Linked DNA regions of Anolis sagrei. The protein of the gene in region 1 interacts with the protein of each later gene in a pairwise test. Links are inferred from orthologs where the notes say so. Each region holds a gene or a part of one and is shown on either strand. Other genes may lie near its edges.

Region 1 (10,152 bases):
CTAGTCATTTGTGTCAATGTTAAACATGGATGAAGCAAGCTGGTTTTCCCTGTAATAGGCAGTAAGAGCACCTAAAGCTTTGGAGAGCTTCTGTTCCACCATTTCTAAGCTCCCTGCTTGAGCGTTGATGGCATGATCGTCGGCGTATATGAAACTCTCTGTCCCTTCTAGTCATTTGTGTCAATGTTAAACATGGATGGAGCAAGTTGGTTTCCCCTGTAATAGGCAGTAAGAGCACCTAAAGCTTCGGAGAGCTTCTGTTCCGCCATTTATTTCAAAGCTCTCTGCTTGAGCGTTGATGGTATGATCGTCAGCATATATTAAACTCTCTGTCCCTTCTAAGTCATTTGTATAAATATTAAACAAGCTGGTTTTCCCTGTAATAGGCAGTAAGACCAACTAAAGCTTCAGAGAGCTTCTGTTGAACCATTTCAAAGCTCCCTGATTGAGCGTTGATGGCATGATCGTCAGCGTATATTAAACTCTCTGTCCCTTCTGGTCATTTGTGTCAATGTTTAACATGGATGGAGCAAGCTGGTTTTCCCTGTAATAGGCAGTAAGAGCACCTAAAGCTTTGGAGAGCTTCTGTTGAACCATTTCAAAGCTCCCTGTTTGGGCAGTGATGGCACTGTCGTCAGCATATATGAAAACTCTCTGTCCCTTCTGGCAGTGGTTGGTCATTTGTGTCAATGTTAAACACGAGGAACTGTATTAAGAGGCATTAGGAAAATTGAGAAACACTGACCTAAAGCTTTGGAGAGCTTCTGTTCAGCCATTTCAAAGCTCCCTGCTTGAGCAGTGATGGCGGCGTCATCAGCATAGATGAAAACTCTCTATCCCTTCTGGCAGTGGCTGGTCATTTGTGTACATGTTAAACACGAGGAATGGTATTAAGAGGCATTGGGAAGGTTGAGAAACATTGACTAAAAGCTTCGGAGAGCTTCTCTTCAGCCATTTCAAAACTCCCTGTTTGAGCGGTGATGACACCGTCATCTGCATATATGGAACTCTCTGTCCCTTCTGGCAGTGGCTGGTCATTTGTGTAAACGTTAAACATGAGGAACTGTATTAAGAGCCATTAGGAAGGTTGAGAAACACTGATCTAAAGCTTTGGAGAGCTTCTGTTGAACCATTACAAAGGTCTCTGCTTGAGCGTTGATGGCACTGTCATCAGCATAGATGAAACTCTGTGTGTCTTCTGGCAGTGGCTGGTCATTTGTGTCAATGTTAAACATGAGGAACTGTATTAAGAGGCATTAGGAAGATTGAGAAACACTGACCTAAAGCTTTGGGGAGCTTCTGTTCAGCCATTACAAAGCTCTCAGCTTGGGTGGTGATGGCAAGATCGTCAGCATATATTAAACTCTCTGTCCCTTCTGGCAGTGGCTGGTCATTTGTGTACATGTTAAACACGAGGAACGGTATTAAGAGGCATTGGAAAGGTTGAGAAACATTGACTAAAAGCTTCGGAGAGCTTCTCTTCAGCCATTACAAAGCTCTCTGCTTGAGCGGTGATGGCGGCGTCATCAGCATAGATGAAAACTCTCTGTCCCTTCTGGCAGTGGCTGGTCATTTGTGTAGATCATAAACGTTGATGGAGCAAGCACGCTCCCCTAAAGCAGGCAGTTCTTCTGTTTTCGCCATCTGCGATGGAACTCAACGATGGATGGAACTCAACAAAAAAGCTCCTGTTTTGTAGCAGATTTCCTATGATTCCCTTTGTGATACTATAAGTTTTTCTCAGGAGGAGGCAATGATTTATAGTATCACAAGTAGCTGGCAAGTCTATGAAGACAGCGCCTGTCATTGTATTTAATTATAAATATATATTGTATCTAATGCAGCCTGTACATAATTGCAATTTCTTAAAAAATCTATATAATTCTATGGATACAGAAGGATAACTGTATCCACTACGCTGTTTTATATGTATTTGTTGTCGCTCTAATAGAGAGAAGCTCTATTAGAGCGCTACACCGCTGGAGAAATTATACAGTTTAGCTGACTCCAGGAGGTTCCGGGTTTGAGCCTGCCACTTTTGGACTCTTGCTTGCTGAGGTGCAAGCAAGAGTCCAAAAGCGGCAGCCTGAAACTCGGAAGCTCAATCAGTCGCTGAGACCAGATGAGAGACTCCCTCCTGGGCACATTGAAGACGAGGTGACTTGGAAGGCGCTGAATAGACTGCGCTCTGGGAGAGGATGGACCGTGGATGATGGGATTTGTAGTACCTTCACCCGGTTCACTTCCCACAGAACACGGTGGCCCCCACAAATCACAGGTTGGCACACAGAGCCCCCATGACCCACTCAACATCTCGGTGCAGTCTGGAGAAGGATGGAACATGGACGATGGGACTTGCAGTTCCTTCACTCACTTCCTGAGACCGCTGCGACCCTCACCAATGACGGACCAAGACCAAACTTGGCACACAGACCCCTCACGACCAACTCTACATCCTGGTGTGGTTTGGAGGACAATGGAACATGGATGATGGGACTTGCAGTTCCTTCACTCACTTCCTGCGACCACTGCGACCCTCACTAATGACGGACCAAGACCAAACTTGGCACACAGGACCCTCCATGACCAACTGTACATCATGGTGCGGTTTCAAGGACAATGGAACATGGATGATGGGACTTCCAGTTCCATCACTCACTTCCTGCGACCACTGCGACTCTCACCAATGACGGACCAAGACCAAACTTGGCACACAGACCTCTCATGTCCAACTCTACATCCAGGTGTGGTTTGGAGGACGATCGAACATGGACGATGGGACTTGCAGTACCTTCACTCACTTCCTGCGACCGCTGTGACCCTCAGCAATGACTGACCAAGACCAAACTTGGCACACAGACCCCCCCATGTCCAACTCTACATCCAGATGTGGTTTGAAGGACGATGGAACATGGATGATGGGACTTGCAGTTCCTTCACTCACTTCCTGCGACCACTGCGACCCTCACCAATGACCGATAAAGACCAAACTTGGCACACAGAGGCCCATGAACTGCAACCCTAATCCAATGACCGATAAAGACCAAACTTGGCACACAGACCCCTCCATGACCAACTCTACATCCTGGTGCGGTTTGGAGAACGATGGAACATGGACGATGGGACTTGCAGTACCTTCATTCACTTTCTGAGACCACTGCGACCCTCACGAATGACTGACCAAGACCAAACTTGGCACACAGACCCCCCCCCCATGTCCAACTCTACATCCAGATGTGGTTTGGAGGATGATAGAACATGGACGACGGGACTTGCAGTACTTTCACTCACTTCCTGCGATCGCTGCGACCCTCACCAATGACGGACCAAGACCAAACTTGGCACACAGACCCCTCATGTCCAACTCTACATCCAGATGTGGCTTGGAGGACGATGGACTATGGACGATGGGACTTACAGTACCTTCACTCACTTCCTGCGACCACTGCGACCCTCACCAATGACTGACCAAGACCAAACTTGGCACACAGACCCCTCATGTCCAACTCTACATCCAGAGGTGGTTTGAAGGACGATGGAACATGGACGATGGGACTTGCAGTACCTTCACTCACTTCCTGAGACTGCTGCAACCCTCACCAATGACTGATCAAGAACAGACCCCTCCATGACCAACTCTACATCCTGGTGTGTTTTGGAGAATGATGGAACATGGACGATGGGACTTGCAGTACCTTCACTCACTTCCTGCGACCGCTGTGACCCTCAGCAATGACTGACCAAGACCAAACTTGGCACACAGAGCCCCCATGACCAACTCTACATCCTGGTGCGGTTTGGAGAACGATGGAACATGGACGATGGGACTTGCAGTTCCTTCACTCACTTACTGCGATCGCTGCAACCCTCACCAATGACTGCACTCTACACCGCTGGAGAAATTATACAGTTTAGCTGACTCCAAGAGATTCCGGGTTTGAGCCTGCCACTTTTGGACTCTTGCTTGCTGAGGTGCCCACTCAACATCTTGGTGCAGTCTGGAGAAGGATGGAACATGGACAATGGGACTTGGTCCCTTCACTCACTTCCTGAGACCACTGCGACCCTCACCAATGACAGACCAAGACCAAACTTGGCACACATGTCCAAGTCTACCTGTCCTGCCCTACCACAACCACATCCATGTTGCAATGATTTACCTTCTCTGATTGAATTCTGGGTCGTCGTCATCCTCGTCCAGCACTTTGCCCGGTTCCCAGCTGTGCCGTCGGAAAGCGTCGTAGGGGGTGGCGCAGCCCCTCAAGCGCATTGGCACCCCCAAAAACTGCACATCGTCCCCCATCTCCTCTTCTGGCTCCACGGCGCATGGCTCCACCGCAGAGAGGCTGCGCTGCTTCAGGACCAGCGGGGAGACCGGGACTCCACTCATTCCTCGCGGAGCATCCGAAGGCTGGAAAGAGAAGAAGGGGAAATCAATGGGTGCACTAGGTCTCCCAGCACAGCTAATGCCTAGCAAGGTTTGCTGTTTAGGGATCTCTAGTTCTGGGTTGTTGTGAGTTTTTCAGGCTGTATGGCCATGCTCCTGATGCATTCTCTCCTGACGTTTCGCCTGCATCTGTGGCTGGCATATGCAGAGCTTTCGTTGGCTGTGAAGCAAGTGGAGTGTGCATCGACCTCTGACGAAATGCATCTAGATCCTCCAGCACAAATAAATATGAATATATAAATAAAAATATAAAAATATATAAAAATAAAAAATATAAAATATATAAAAATATAAAATATAAATAAATAAATATAAAATATGGAAATATAGAAACATAGAAATGTAAATGTAAAAAAAGAAAAATAAAGAATAGAAAAATAGAATAAAAGAAAAATATAAATAATATATAAATATATAAATATATATAAATATATAAATAAAAATAGAAAAATAGAAAAATATAAATAAAATAGAAAAATAGAAAATAGAAAATATAAATATAAAAAAATTAAAAAAAAGAAATATATAAATAAAAATAGAAAATAGAAAATATAAATATAAAAAAATTAAAAAAAAGAAATATATAAATAAAAATAGAAAATAGAAAAATATAAATAAATATATAAAAATATTATATATCTAAACTAAAAATATATAAATATAAAAAATAAAAATAAAAATATAAAAATAGGAAAATATAATTAAAATATAAAAATATAAATATATAAATAAAAATAGAAAAATAGAAATAAATATATAAAAATATAATATATAAATAAATATATTTATAAAATACCTATATATACATATATATATACATATACATATACATATATATATATATATATATATATAGAAAAATAGAAAAATAGAAATAAATATATAAAATGTATAATACAAATAAATATATATATAAAAATATAAAAAATATAACAATAAAAACAGAAAAAATAGAATAATATAATAAAAAATAAATATATATAAATATATATAAATAAAAATATGAAAATAGAAAAATATAAATAAATGTATAAAATATAATATATATAATAGAAAAATATAAATAGAAAAAATATAAATAGAAAATAGAAAAATAGAAAAACAGAAAAAACAGAAAAAATTATAAATAAAATTTTAAAATATAAATAAAAATATTTATATATAAATATATAAATAAATATAAAAATATAAATATATAAATAAATATATATATAAATAAAAATATAAAAATACAAAAATATAAAAGTTATATATATATATATATAAATAGAAAATAGAAAAATAGAAAAAACAGAAAAAATAGAAAAAATTATAAATAAAATTTTAAAATATGAATAAAAATATTTATATATGAATATATAAATAAAATAAAAATATAAAAATATAAAATATAAATAAATATATATAAAAATAAAAATATAAAAATACAAAAAATATAAAAATAATATATATATAAATATAAAAAGAAAAATAGAAAAATAGAAAAAATAGAAAAAATTATAAATAAAATTTAAAAATATAAATAAATGTATTTATATATAAATATATAAATAAAAATATAAAAATACAAAAAATATAAAAATTATATATATATATATATATATATATATATATATATATAAACAAAAATATAAATATATACAAAACAATAAACAATAAATAAATAAATATAAATATATATAAAAATAAACATAAATATCACCACACATATCACTATTAAAATTTCTGCCCCTCGGGCAACCGAGGTTGTCCTAACAACATAACACTAAACAACTCCAAGTCCATAGGGTTTGGAATAAATCTGGAGTGAGACCCATTCAAATCCCGGTCTCCTTGATTCCGGGTCCAATCCTTGCCTTGCCCAGCTTGGTTCACCTGCTCTTCGCTCTCGTCTCTTCTGCAAGCCTTCCTTGCTTCTCTTTCCAAAAGATAGGAAAGGGAAGCGCTGGCGTGACTTTGCTCCTATCCTGTTTGGGTTTTCCACCACTCACTCCTCCCAATGTTCCCTTTGGTGCTTTCCTCCTTTCTCTCCGCTTATCTTTTGCAGAATCAGCACAGCCAACTTTCCAAAGGGAGAGAAGAACCAATGGAGCCCGGCCAGGCAGACAGGATACTCACTGGGAATATGCTCATAATAAAGCAGCTCCACTGTGCTCTCTTTGATTGTAGGTGAACTATAAATCCCAGCAACTACAACTCCCAAATGTCAAGGTCTATTTCCCCCAAACTCCACCAGTGTTCACATTTGGGCATATTGAGTATTCATGCCAAGTTTGGTCCAGATCCATCATTGTTTGAGTCCACAGTGCTCTCTGGATGTAGGTGAACTACAACTCCCAAACTCAAGGTCAATGCCCACCAAACCCTCCCAGTATTTTCTGTTCGTCGTGGGAATTCTGTGTGCCAAGTTTGGTTCAATTCCATCGTTGGTGGAGTTCAGAATGCTCCTTGATTGTAGGTAAACTAGAAATCCCAGCAACTACAACTCCCAAATGACAAGGTCTATTTTCTCCAAACTCCACCAGTGTTCACATTTGGGAATATTGAGTGTCCATGCCAAGTTTGGTCCAGATCCATCATTGTTTGAGTCCACAGTGCTCTCTGGATGTAAGTGAACTACAACTCCAAAACTCAAGGTCAATGCCCATCAAACCCATCTAGTGTTTCCTCTTGGTCATAGGAGTTCTGTCTGCCAAGTTTGGTTCAATTCCATTATCAGTGGAGTTCAGAATGCTCTTTGATTGTAGGTGAACTATAAATCCCAGCAAGTACAACTCCCAAATGTCAAGGTCTATTTTCTCCAAACTCCACCAGTGTTCACATTTGGGCATATTGAGTGTCCGAGCCATGTTTGGTCCAGATCCGTCACTGTTTGAGTCTCTGGATGTAGGTGAACTACAACTCCCAAACCCAAGGTCAATGCCTACCAAACTCTCCCAGTATTGTCTGCTGGTGATGAGAGTTTTGTGTGCCAAGTTTGGTTCAATTCCATTGTTGGTGGAGTTCAGAATGCTCTTTGATTCTAGGTGAACTATAAATCCCAGCAACTACAACTCCCAAATGTCAAGGTCTAATTGCCCCAAACTCCACCAGTGTTCACATTTGGGCATATTGAGTATCCTTGCCAAGTCTGGTCCAGATCCATCATTGTTTGAGTCCACAGTGTTCTCTGGATGTAGGTGAACTACAACTCCCAAACTCAAGGTCTCGTAGCCCCAAACTCCACCACATTTGGGCATATTGAGTATCCGTGCCAAGAATGAAAATACATCCTGCATATCTGATATTTACATGATGATTCAGAACAGGAGCAAAATGACAGGAGTTTTTTGGGGGTGAACTTGGCATAATGGGAGTTGTAGTTCACCCACAAACCCTTATGTACTTGGTACAATTAATATACTAACTTTTTTTTTCAAATAGCCTGGGCAACTCCGGGTAACCAAAGTAGTAAACAAATAGAGTGACCTTATAAAACTACAACTCTCCTGACCTTATAAAACTACAACTCTCAGGATTGATTCAAAAATAGAGCGAGAGAGAGAGAGGAAACAATCTGGGATGAGGTCAGGCTCGGAGAAGAGGAATGATCTCAGATTTGGGAGGAAACGCTTCTATGGGAACCTTGGGAAAGTGTACACAACAGCGCAAAGCCCGGTCCCACCCAGCCGAGGAAGGGAACGCGGGCAAAGGTGACCCGAACCGGCCGCCAAGCCTGGGAAATTGTAGTTTTGCAAGGTCTTCGGCCAAACGACAACTCCCAGGATGCCAGAGCATGGAACCAGTGGGGTCAAATCCAGCAAAAGCAATAGAAAATAGCAATAAAGATGAATGATAACAACATTTCTCCCCGTTTCCAAGATTTCAATGCCCGTACTTGCCAAACTACAACTCCCAGGATCCCAAAGCATCGCTTGACGTGCCATGGCTCAATGCTTGGAGACCGTCCTCACCAAACTACAACTCCCAGGATCCCAAAGCATTGAGCTGTGGCACGTCAAGTGATGCTTTGGGATCCTGGGAGTTGTAGTTTGGCAAGTACGGTCTCAAAGGCTGTACTTGCCTGTACTTGTTAAACTACAACTCCCAGGATCCCAAAGCATCACTTGATGTGCCACGGCTCAATGCTTTGAGACCGTACTCACCAAACTACAACTCCCAGGATCCCAAAGCATCGCTTGATGATACTTTGAGACTATACTTGCCAAACTGCAAATCCCAGGATCCCAAAGCATCACTTGACAGGCCATGGCTCAATGCTTTGAGACCGTACTCGCCAAACTACAATTCCCAGGATCCCAAAGCATCGCTTGGCGTGCCACTGCTCAATGCTTTGAGACCGTACTTGCCAAACTATAACTCCCAGGATCCCAAAGCATCGCTTGATGATGTTTTGAGACCGTACTCGCCAAACTACAATTCCCAGGATCCCAAAGCATTGAGCCGTGGCACATCAAGCAATACTTTGCGATCCTAGGAGTTGTTGCTTGTACTTGCCAAACTGCAACTCCCAGGATTCCAAAGCATCGCTTGACATGCCACGGCTCAATGCTTTGAGACCGTACTCACCAAATTACAACTCCCAGGATCCCAAAGAATTGCTTGACATGCTAGGGGTCAATGCTTTGAGACTGTACTCGCCACACTACAACTCCCAGGATCCCAAAGCATCGCTTGATGGTGCTTTGAGACCGTACTCGCCAAACTGCAACTCCCAGGATCCCAAAGCATCACTTGACAGGCCACGGCTCAATGCTTTGAGGCCATGCTCGCCAAACTACAACTCCCAGGATCCCAAAGCATCACTTGACGTGCCACGGCTCAATGCTTTGGGATCTTGGGAGTTGTAGTTTGGCAAGTACGGTCTCCAAGCATTGAGCCATGGCACGTCAAGCGATGCTTTGGGATCCTGGGAGTTGTAGTTTGGCAAGTATGGGCATTGACAGGCCATGGTTCAATGCTTTGAGACCATACTCACCAAACTACAACTCCCAGGATCCCAAAGCATCACTTGATATGCCACGGCTCAATGCCTTGAGACTGTACTCACCAAACTGCAACTGCCAGGATCCCAAAGCATCGCTTGATATGCCATGGCTCAATGCTTTGAGACTGTACTCACCAAACTACAACTCCCAGGATCCCAAAGCATCACTTGACGTGCCACGGCTCAATGCTTTGGGATCTTGGGAGTTGTAGTTTGGCGAGTACGGTCTCCAAGCATTGAGCCGTGGCACGTCAAGCGATGCTTTGGGATCCTGGGAGTTGTAGTTTGGCAAAGTACGGGCATTGACGGGCCATGGTTCAATGCTTTGAGACCGTACTCGCCAAACTACAACTCCCAGGATCCCAAAGCATCACTTGATGTGCCACGGCTCATTGCTTTGAGACTGTACTCACCAAACTACAACTCCTAGGATCCCAAAGCATCACTTGATATGCCACGGCTCAATGCTTTGAGACCGTACTTTCCAAACTACAACTCCCAGGATCCCAAAGCATCACTTGACAGGCAATGGTTCAATGCTTTGAGACCGTACTCGCCAAACTACAACTCCCAAGATCCCAAAGCATTGCTTGATGATGCTTTGAAACTGTACTCACCAGACTACAACTCCCAGGATTCCAAAGCATCACTTGACAGGCAATGGTTCAATGCTTTGAGACTGTACTCACCAAACTACAACTCCCAGGATCCCAAAGCA
Region 2 (10,357 bases), on another chromosome or scaffold:
TTGCAACACCATGAAAGCCTTCGACAATACATTATTATTGTTGTTAATATTATTATTATGGCCTAGAGCAGAGAGGATCAAAGTGCCAGATAGTAGAACATCAACTAAAGATCAATACTTTTGACACAGTCAAATCATGCTGCATTAAGAGACTCAGATGAAGGCAAAGCAGGGACTGATGTATTCAGACACAGTAGAAAAGAAATACCAGGCAAACCAAGTAACATCTGTGCGTTGAAGACAAGTGAAAAGCTCAATAGCAAAAAATATACATTGCCCCTCCCATTATGGACAAATATATATATAACTAGCTGTATCACCACGCGTTGCTGTAGCCAACCTTCCCTCTCTCTTTCTCCCTTTCTTTCCCTCCTTCCTTCCCCCCTTTCCTTCCTTCACTTTTTTCTTTCCTTCTCTCCTTCCTTTCTTTTCCACCTCTTTCCTTCCTCCCCCTTTTACTTTCCCTCCCACTCTCTGCTTTCTTCTCTACCTCCTTCCTTCCTTCTCTTTCCCTCTTTCTCTCCTTCTTTCTTTCCTTCTTCCCTCCTTTTTCTTTCCATCCCACTTTCTCTTTCTTCCTTCTCTACCTCCTTCCTTCCTTCCCCTCTCTTTCTTTATTTCTTTCTCTCCTTCCTTCCCCCCTCTTTACTTCCTTCCCTTTTTTCTGTATAGTCATTTAGCTTTTCATCATTTAGCTTTTTGGTGTTTTAAGTCCTTTCCGCTCTTTTTTGGGGTGGGGTGGGGGAGGTTATGAGTGATGGTCAATCACTGGCCTGTTAGATGTCTTGTGTCCAAATTTGGTGTCAATGCATCCAGTGATTTTTGAGTTATGTTAATCCCACAAACGAACATTATATTTTTATTTATATAGATTTCAAATCCCACAATCAGTAGTTCTTACAAGATTCTGAGATAGTTAAGAGTCTTTTTAACTTATGAAAAGACAGATCCTTGGCACAATCACATAAGTAAAACCCAGCAAAACTGACAAGCACCTTCCTATCTTTATGCTAAATCAAGATTTGATTCTCCTTTCTTGAATGACCAGGAAGGTTTAAGTTTCTTATTTCAAGTACTGAGCTTCCCAGAAGCTGTAAGGAGTTAGCAAAAGTTTCATAGTAACAGCAAAACAATTCATGATTTGGGAGTGGGTGTCCAGTAAGTTGTCCCATAATATGGGAATCTGACCAAAATTGCAAAGTGCAAGACTCTTGCAACGGCAAGAAAACAACCAGATAACAGGAGGGGGAAAACTGACTCCATCAGCCATCCTTGTACGAGAGAGGGACATCTTCCCACTGAGGAATATCTTGCATTTCCTTTCCACGACTATTCCAAGTATCCCTTTCCTGAACAGACTTTATGTAATACAAAGAAGGCTTCCCCCATAAGGTAAAAACCCAAAGCTAGGAGGCTTTCCACTTCAATCCATCCAATACAACTTAGTGTTTACATTCAGACAGACCCTTCTATCCAATATATCTTCCATCTCTCACTGCTTCTAAACGTAAACTGAAAACTCTCTGTAAGGGAAAGGCTCAAAGCTAGAACACCTTCATGTTCAATCCATCCAATATGACTTGGTATTTGCGTTCAAACAGACACACCTGCCCTTTTCCCCCCACTCCCTCGATGTAACTTCCCACTCTCACTGTTTCCAACATTAAGGTGAAAGCTATCTGGCTTTTCTTGGTTCTGGAGACAATTCCTGGCACTCGGAAGCTCAGCTTCCTCAAGGCTTCTTGTAGGAGTCCTCCCGTCCGAGGGAGCGAGGATGCTTCCCAGTCCGGCCAGCCCCTCTCCCTCCTCCTCCCTGCTTCCTCTTGGCCTGGCCTTGAGATTCCGACTTGAGCGTCTCCAACCAGAAGGCATCGAAGGACCCCGGGGCTTGATACCCCGGCGCTTGAGTGTCCAGGGGGTCTTTGCTTAGCAGGACACAAATGGCAGGGATGTTCCGCTTCACCGTCAAAGGGTCGAGGCCAACCTCCGGAACGATGGGTTCCCAAATCTCCTCTATTTGCTTGAAGAACACTTTGGTGATCTGGTGGAGGTGCTTCATCCTCCGCTTCATGATCTCCACGCAGGTGATCGTCTTGCTAATCGCTTTGCCCACCCCGCTGAAGAGGACCTGCCTCATGGCCTCGGACTCCATCTTGCCGATGGCGTAACCCATCAGGTTCCGGATTTTGCTGCCATCCTTCACTTTCATCTCAATGATATCAGGGGGCAAGTTGGCGAAAGGAAGAGGAGAAGGCTTCTCCACCGTTTTGGATTTCTGATAGTTCTCCATGATCAACACTTGATATCAAGCAAAGAGAAGAAAAAGAAAACTTAAACATCTAATCAGAATGTTAGTGTCTAATGCTAGGACAAGCAATATGAATTTTGCATATATACATATTATTGTTGTTGTTGTTTATATATACCTCCCTTTATCTCTACCAAAGGAGACTCAAAGCGGCTTACATTAAAAGTATGAACACATAATTTAAAATATACAAATATTAAAACAGAATTAAACGTAACGGTACTAACAAAATTGCAGTTAAAATCCATTAAAACATATTTAAAGCTAAAAACCACAGCACCTCCTGACTTTCCACAAAGGAAAGAAAAAGCATAATAAATAAACATAATCATTGTCATAAACATAATAAACAATATATAAATATATATACACACAGAGATATTTATTTATTTGACTTGTATACCGCTACTCCCAATTTGGCTCGGAGCGGTTTACAGCAGTAGATTAAAACAATACAATTAACTTTAAAATACAATAAAAACAAGAACAGACATAGTCCCGAGTCATTCACATATACACACATACAATGTTTATTATGTTTTATGATGTTTCACACACACACACACACACACACACACATATGAAACATAATAAATCATAATAAAACATAATAAACTATATATATATATATATAGGTTTGGAACCTCCTTGGTAGGAAAAATAGTAATTAATAAACTGGCTTGGAATTTCCTTTATGGAAAGAAAAAGCATAATAAATAAACATAATCATTGTTATAAACATTACAATATATATATATATACACACACACACACACACAATGTTTATTATGTTTTATGATGTTTCACACACACACACACACATATATGAAACATCATAAAACATAATAAATCATCATAATAAAACATAATAAACAATATATATATATATATATATATATAGTGTTTATTATAGATAGATAGATAGATAGATAGATAGATAGATAGATAGAGGTTTGGACCCTCCTTTGTGGGAAAAATAATAATAAATAAACTGGCTTGGAATTTCCTTTGTGGAAAGAAAAAGCATAATAAACAAACATCATCATCGTCATAAAACATAATAAACAACATATATACACACACACACATATACACAATGTTTATTATGCTTTATGATGTTTCATATATATAGGTTTGGAGCTTCCTTTGTGGAAAATAATCATAATAAATAAATATAATCATCGTCATAAAACATAATAAACAACATATAAATATATATACACACACACAATGTTTATTATGTTTTATAATGTTTCATATATATATATATATATATATATATATAGGTTTGGCGCCTCCTTTGTGGAAAAAAACATAAACATGTTATTATTAATAAATTATTATTATATATTATATAGGTTTCATAGAATCATAGAATCAAAGAGTTGGAAGAGACCTCCTGGGCCATCCAGTCCAACCCCATTCTGCCAAGAAGCAGGAATATTGCATTCAAATCACCCCTGACAGATGGCCATCCAGCCTCTGCTTAAAAGCTTCCAAAGAAGGAGCCTCCACCACACTCCGGGGCAGAGAGTTCCACTGCTGAACGGCTCTCACAGTCAGGAAGTTCTTCCTCACGTTCAGATGGAATCTCCTTTCCTGTAATTTGAAGCCATTGTTCCATTGCGTCCCAGTCTCCAGGGAAGCAGAAAGGAAGCTTGCTCCCTCCTCCTCCCTGTGGCTTCTTCTGACATATTTATACATGGCGCTGACCATATCTCCTCTCAGCCTTCTCTTCTTCAAGCTAAACATGCTCAGCTCAGCTCCTTAAGCCGCTCCTCATAGGGTTTGTTCTCCAGACCCTTGATCTGCTCCCTGTGGCTTCCTCTCACATATTTATACATGGCCCTCATCATGTCTCCTCTCATCTTTCTCTTCTTCAAGCTAAACATGCTCAGCTCCTTAAGCCGCTCCTCATAGGGCTTCTTCTCCAGACCCTTGATCTGCTCCCTGCTCCCTGTGGCTTCCTCTCACATATTTATACATGGCCCTCATCATATCTCCTCTCAGCCTTCTCTTCTTCAGGCTAAACATGCCCAACTCCTTAAGCCGCTCCTCATAGGGCTTGTTCTGCAGACCCTTGATCATTTGAGTCGCCCTCCTCTGGGCACATTCCAGCTTAGAGTCAATATCTCTCTTGGAGCCTCCTTTGTGGAAAAACGCATAATATTATTAATAATATTATATTATTATATATTATATTATATGGTGGTGGAGGCTCCTTCTTTGGAGACTTTTAAACAGAGGCTGGACGGCCATCTGTCAGGGGTGATTTGAATGCAATATTCCTGCTTCTTGGCAGAATGGGGTTGGACTATGATTCTATGATTATATATAGACTTGAAGTCTCTTCTGTGGAAAGAAAAAACATACGGTAATAATAAACATAACAGTAATAATATAACAACAAGTTCTCTCGGTATGGTGTAGGCCCCACTCCGCTCCCGCTCACCTGCTGCCTGCCTGCTTTCCTGCTCAGAGGGCGCTCAGGGAAAAATGGCGCCTCTCCTGCTTCCTACAGAGCCGGCTGCTCTTCCGCGCATGCGCGTCACAGGCGCCTCCTTATGACGCAGAGGAGAAGCCAGGAAGAGAGGTTTCCCCGCGCAGAGCGAGGAGCGAAACCCCGCCCCCGCCTTCCCATTGGACGAACCGCCAAGCAAGACCACGCCCCTCGGTTGAAGGAGTACATTGCTCAGCCGGCCTCCAGGGGGCGTGTTGGGAAATTTAATTCAAAATCCTAATTCTAAATTTCAGATGATTTCTGTTGGATTTTATAAGACACTAGCTATACCTGCCATGCCTTGCTATGGCCAACCTTCCCTCCCTCTTTCTCTCCTCCTTTCTTTCTCTCCTTCCTTTCATCCCTCTTTTTCTTTCCCTTCTTCTTTCTTCCTTCTCTAGCTGTTTCTTTCCTCGCTTCCTTTGCTCTTTGGTTCCATCCTTCTCTCTTTCCTTCCTTCCCTTCCCCTTTCTCTCTTTTATTCCTTCTCTCCTTCCTCCCCTCTTTCATTTTTTTATTTCATTCTCTCTTTCTCTCCTTCCTTCCTTCTTTCTCTTCTTCCCTCCTTCTTTCTCTCCTTCCTTCCTTCCTTCCTTCTTTCTCTCTTTTATTCCTTCTCTCCTTCCTTCCCTCTTTCACTTTTTTATTTCATTCCCTCCTTCTCTCCTTTCTTCCTTCTTTCTCTCCTTCCCTCCTTCTTTCCCTCTTTCTCTCCCTTCCTTCCTTCTCTACCTTTCTTTCTTTCCTTCTCCCCTTCCCTCCTTTCCCTCTTTTTTCTCCCTCCTTCTCTCCTTCCTTCCTTCTCTGCCCTTCTTTCTTTCCTTCTTTATCTCCTCTCTTCCTTCCCTCCTTCTCTCCTTCCTTCCTTCTCTGCCCTTCTTTCTTTCCTTCTTTATCTCCTCTCTTCCTTCTTTCCCTCCTTCTCTTCTTCCTTCCTTCTTTCCTTCCTTCTCTCCTTCTTCTTTCTCTCTCTCCTTCCTTTCTTCTCTACCCTTCCTTCTTTCCTTCCTTCTCTCCTTCCCTTTTTCTCTCCCTCCTTCCTTCTCTACCCTTCCTTCTTTCCTTCTTTATCTCCTTCCTCCCTTCTTTCCCTCCTTCTCTTCTTCCTTCCTTCTCTACCCTTCCTTCTTTCCTTCCTTCTCTCCTTCCCTCTTTCTCTCCCTCCTTCCTTCTCTACCCTTCTTTCTTTCCTTCTTTATCTCCTCCCTTTTCTCCTTCCTTCTCTCCTTCCCTTTCTCTCCCTCCCTCCCTCCTTCCTTCCCTACTCTTCCTTCTTTCCTTATCTCCTCCCTTCCTTCTTTCCCTCCTCTCCTTCCTTCCTTCTCTACCCTATCTTCTTTCCTTCCTTCTCTCCTTCCCTCTTTCTCTCCCTCCTTCCTTCTCTACCCTTCTTTCTTTCCTTCTTTATCTCCTCCCTTCTCTCCTCCCTTCTCTCCTTCCCTTTCTCTCCCTCCCTCCCTCCTTCCTTCCCTACTCTTCCTTCTTTCCTTATCTCCTCCCTTCCTTCTTTCCCTCCTCTCCTTCCTTCCTTCCCTACCCTTCCTTCTTTCCTTCCTTCTCTCCTTCCTCTCTCTCCTTCCTTCCTTCTCTACCCTTCCTTCTTTCCTTCCTTCTCTCCTTCACTTCCTCCTTTCCCTCCTTCTCTCCTTCCTTCCTTCTCTACCCTTCCTTCTTTCCCTCCTTCTCTCCTTCCTTCCTTCGCTACCCTTCCTTCTCTCCTTCCCTCTTTCTCTCCCTCCTTCTCTCCTTCATTTCTTCTCTATCCTTTTTTTCCTTCCTTACTTCTCCCCTCCCCTCCTTCTTTCTCTCCTTCCTTCCTTCTCTACTCTTCCTTCTTTCCTTCCTTCTCTCCTTCCCTTTTTCTTTCCCTCATTCCTTCTCTACCCTTCTTTCTTTCCTTCGTTGTCTCCTCCCCTCCTCCTTTCCTTCCGTCTCTCCCTTCTGCTCTCCTCCTTTCCTCCTTTCTGTGTATGTGTTTTGTGTGTGTATATGCATATATGTGTGTTTGTGTGTGTGTATATATGGTTTTGTGTGTGCGTTATATTTTTTGTTTTTGTTTTTTGGCTTTTAAAGTCCCTTCTGCTGTGTTTTTCAGTGTTTTTATGAGTGAAGGACATAAACTGGGTTGTTAGGTGTCTTGTGTCCAAATTTGGCAATTCGTCCAGTGATTTTTGAGTTATGTTAATCCCACAAACGAACATTACATTTTTATTTATATAGAATATATTATTTATATTACATCTCTTAGTGCTGTGTTAATTATTAATGTAAAACAAACGAGTAATTACAAATTATTATGATTCAAATAGATTTTATAATTATACTACTTATAATTGTTTATTTTACATTATTTCCATTAGATTTTATCATGTATTATATTATATAATGGAACGGTACCGTATTGTTTATATTTATATCACATCTTTTCTGTTTATATTATTTCTTTTGCAATTATATTAAGTTTTGAGGCTTTTCTTGTGCATTTTTTCCTTATGCATTCAGACTCATTACTTCTTTTAGATTTTATAACTAGATGAATTATAATTAAGTGTTTATTTTATATTATTTCAACTATATTTTATAATGCACTAGCCGTCCCCTGCCACGCGTTTCTGTGTCCCACATGAGGGTTCTGTGTGGGAGGTTTGGCCCAATTCTATCGTTGGTGGTGTTCAGAATGCTCTGTGATTGTAGGTGAACTATAAATCCCAGCAACTACGACTCCCAAATGTCAAGATTCTATTTTCCTCAAACTCCACCAGTGTTCACATTTCGGCATGTTGAGTATTCGTGTAGAGTTTGGTCCAGATCCATCATTGCTTGAGTTTACAGTGATCTCTGGATGTAGGTGAACTACAACTCCAAAACCAAAGGACACTGCCCACCAAACCCTTCCAGTATTTTCTGGTGGTCATGGGAGAACTGTGTCCCAAGTTTGGTTCAATTCCATCGTTGGTGATGTTCAGAATGCTCTTTGATTGTAGGTGAACTATAAATCCCAGCAACTACAACTCCCAAATGACAAAATCATGTTTTTGAGTGAAGAACATACATTGGGTTGTTAGGTGTATTGTGTCCAAATTTGGTATCAATTCGTCCATTATATTTTTATTTATTTAGATTATTTATATCTATGTTTGTTTACATTACATTATTTATTTTAGCATTATTATGTCTATATTACGTATTTGGACATTATATTAAGTCTTGGGACTTTGCTTTTGCATTTTTCCTTATGCGTTCATACTCATTTTCATCACTATGATACGTCATCTTGTTGATGGGAAGCTTCCCAACAGAGTGGAAATCATCTCTCGGACAGCTATTCAACCTCAGCCAACTGAAAGCCAAAACCAAGGTTACAACATGTGTTATAGAACTCCAGTATGCTGATGACAACGTTGTCTGTGCGCATTCAGAAGAAGACCTACAAGCCACTCTCAACACCTTCGCAGAAGCATACGAGAAGCTCGGTCTGTCATTGAACATCGAGAAAACCAATGTGCTGTTTCAACAAAAGGCACCAGCCAATTCCTCTCCAATGCCAGATATACAGGGGCTGGATTGCCATCTGTCGGGAGGGCTTTGATGGTGCTTTTCCAGCATCATCATTAATAATAGCAACAACAATAATAATAATACTTTGCTGCCTCCTGAACATGGTGAAACACTGGAAAATGTTGATCATTTCTGCTCCCTTGGCTGCCACCTCTCCACCCAAGTCAACATTGACACTGAAATACAACACCGCCTGAGCTCTGCGAGTGCAGCTATTTTCTGAATGAAGCAGAGAGTGGATTGTTGTAGGTTTTTCCAGGCTATATGGCCATGTTCTAGAGGCATTTCTCCTGACGTTTCGCCTGCATCTATGGCAAGCATCCTCAGAGGTAGTGAGGTCTGTTGGAACTAGGAAAAAGGGTTTATATATCTGTGGAATGACCAGGGTGGGGCAAAGGACTCTTGTCTGCTGGAGCTAGGTGTGAATGTTTCAACTGACCACCTTGATTAGCATTCAATTGCCTGGCAGTGCCTGGAACCATCTTTTGTTGAGAGGTGATTAGATGTCCTTGTTTGTTTCCTCCCTGTTGTTGTGCTGTTCTAATTTTAGAGGTTTTTAATACTGGTAGTCAGATTTTGTTCAGAGAGTGTTCTGAAGCAGAGAGTGTTTGAGGACCGGGACATCCATAGGGAGACCAAGGTGCTTCTTTATAAAGCTATTGTCCTCCCAACCCTGCTATACGCCTGCGAAACCTGGACTGTCTACAGACGTCACATGCAACTCCATCAGTGCTGCCTCCAGAAAATCCTGCAAATCTCTTGGGAAGACAAGCGGACAAATGTCAGCATGCTGGAAGAAGCAAAGATCACCAGCATTGAAGCCATGGTCCTCCGCCATCAACTCCAGTGGACCGGCCACATTGTCCAGATGCCTGACCACCGTCTCCCAAAGCAGTTGCTCTACTTCGAACTCAAGAACAGAAAACGGAATGTTGGAAAAGAGATTGAAAGATGGGCTCAAAGACAACCTTAAAAAATTTCTTCTGGCACAGACACTGAGAACTGGGAAGCCCTTGCCCTTGAGTGCTGCAGCTGGAGGTCAGCTGTGACCAGCAGTGCTGCAGAATTTGAACAGGCACGAATGGAGGGCGAAAGAGAGAAATGTACCAAGAGGAAGGCGCGTCAAGCCAACCCCGACCAGGACCGCTTTCCACCTGGAAACCAATGCCCTCACTGTGGGAGAAGATGCAGGTCAAGAATAGGGCTCCACAGTCACCTACGAACCCACCACCAGGATACTACATTTGGAGGACCATCATCCTCAGACTACAAGGGATCACCTATAATTTTATAATTATATTAGAATATTTATAATTCCAAGATTTTAAGAATCCAGCAAAAGCTTTCAAGGCCAAAAACAATAATCAAAGAAATATGGGACTTGGAAGTCTATTCCTCTCTTAGTTGTTGGGAACTCCTGAAACAATAGAAAAGTATCAACTCCAGTGGACCGGCCACATTGTCCAGATATTGTCCACATTGTCCAGACATTGTCCACATTGCCCCAATACTTGGTCAATCTGCAGCATTTTTCCTGCAGCAAAATTCAGCATTAGGCCAAATCACCAGAATTTTTATATGTATGTAATGAACCATTTTTGCCTTGGGTTGTTGTAGATTTTTCAGGCTATATGGCCATGTTCTAGAGGCATTCCCACCTGATGTTTCGCCTGCATCTATGGCAAGCATCCTCAGAGGTAGTGAGATCTTTTGGAAGTAGGAAAAATTGGGTTTATATATTTGTGGAATGACCAGGGTGGGACAAAGGACTCTTGTCTGTTGGAGCTAGGTGTGAATGTTTCAACTGACCACGTTGATTAGCATTTGTCTCCTTCTCAACCTTCTCTTCTTCAGGCTAAACATGCCCAACTCTTTAAGCCGCTCCTCATAGGGCTTGTTCTCCAGACCCTTGGTCCTTTGAGTCTCCTTCCTCTGGAAACAGTCCTAAAAGAAGACGTAACCCTTACGGTCTTTTAGGGGAATGGGCAGAA

What was found.
Region 2: the proteins of ARHGEF2 (region 1) and RPP25L interact in binary tests that used the Homo sapiens proteins (3 or more experiments, as listed by UniProt). The two-hybrid records come from large-scale screens. The link is inferred for Anolis sagrei from reciprocal best matches to the Homo sapiens genes ARHGEF2 and RPP25L.

The regions. Positions count from the first base shown.
Region 1 is NC_090032.1:20,908,852-20,919,003, forward strand, and holds the start of ARHGEF2 (rho guanine nucleotide exchange factor 2), read right to left. Parts: upstream 4,371-10,152; 5' UTR 4,304-4,370; coding exon 4,161-4,303; intron 1-4,160. UniProt on the Homo sapiens protein: Activates Rho-GTPases by promoting the exchange of GDP for GTP.
Region 2 is NC_090022.1:300,713,838-300,724,194, reverse strand, and holds the start of RPP25L (ribonuclease P protein subunit p25-like protein), read right to left. Parts: upstream 4,843-10,357; 5' UTR 4,761-4,842; intron 2,299-4,760; 5' UTR 2,291-2,298; coding exon 1,733-2,290; 3' UTR 1-1,732. UniProt on the Homo sapiens protein: May be a component of ribonuclease P or MRP.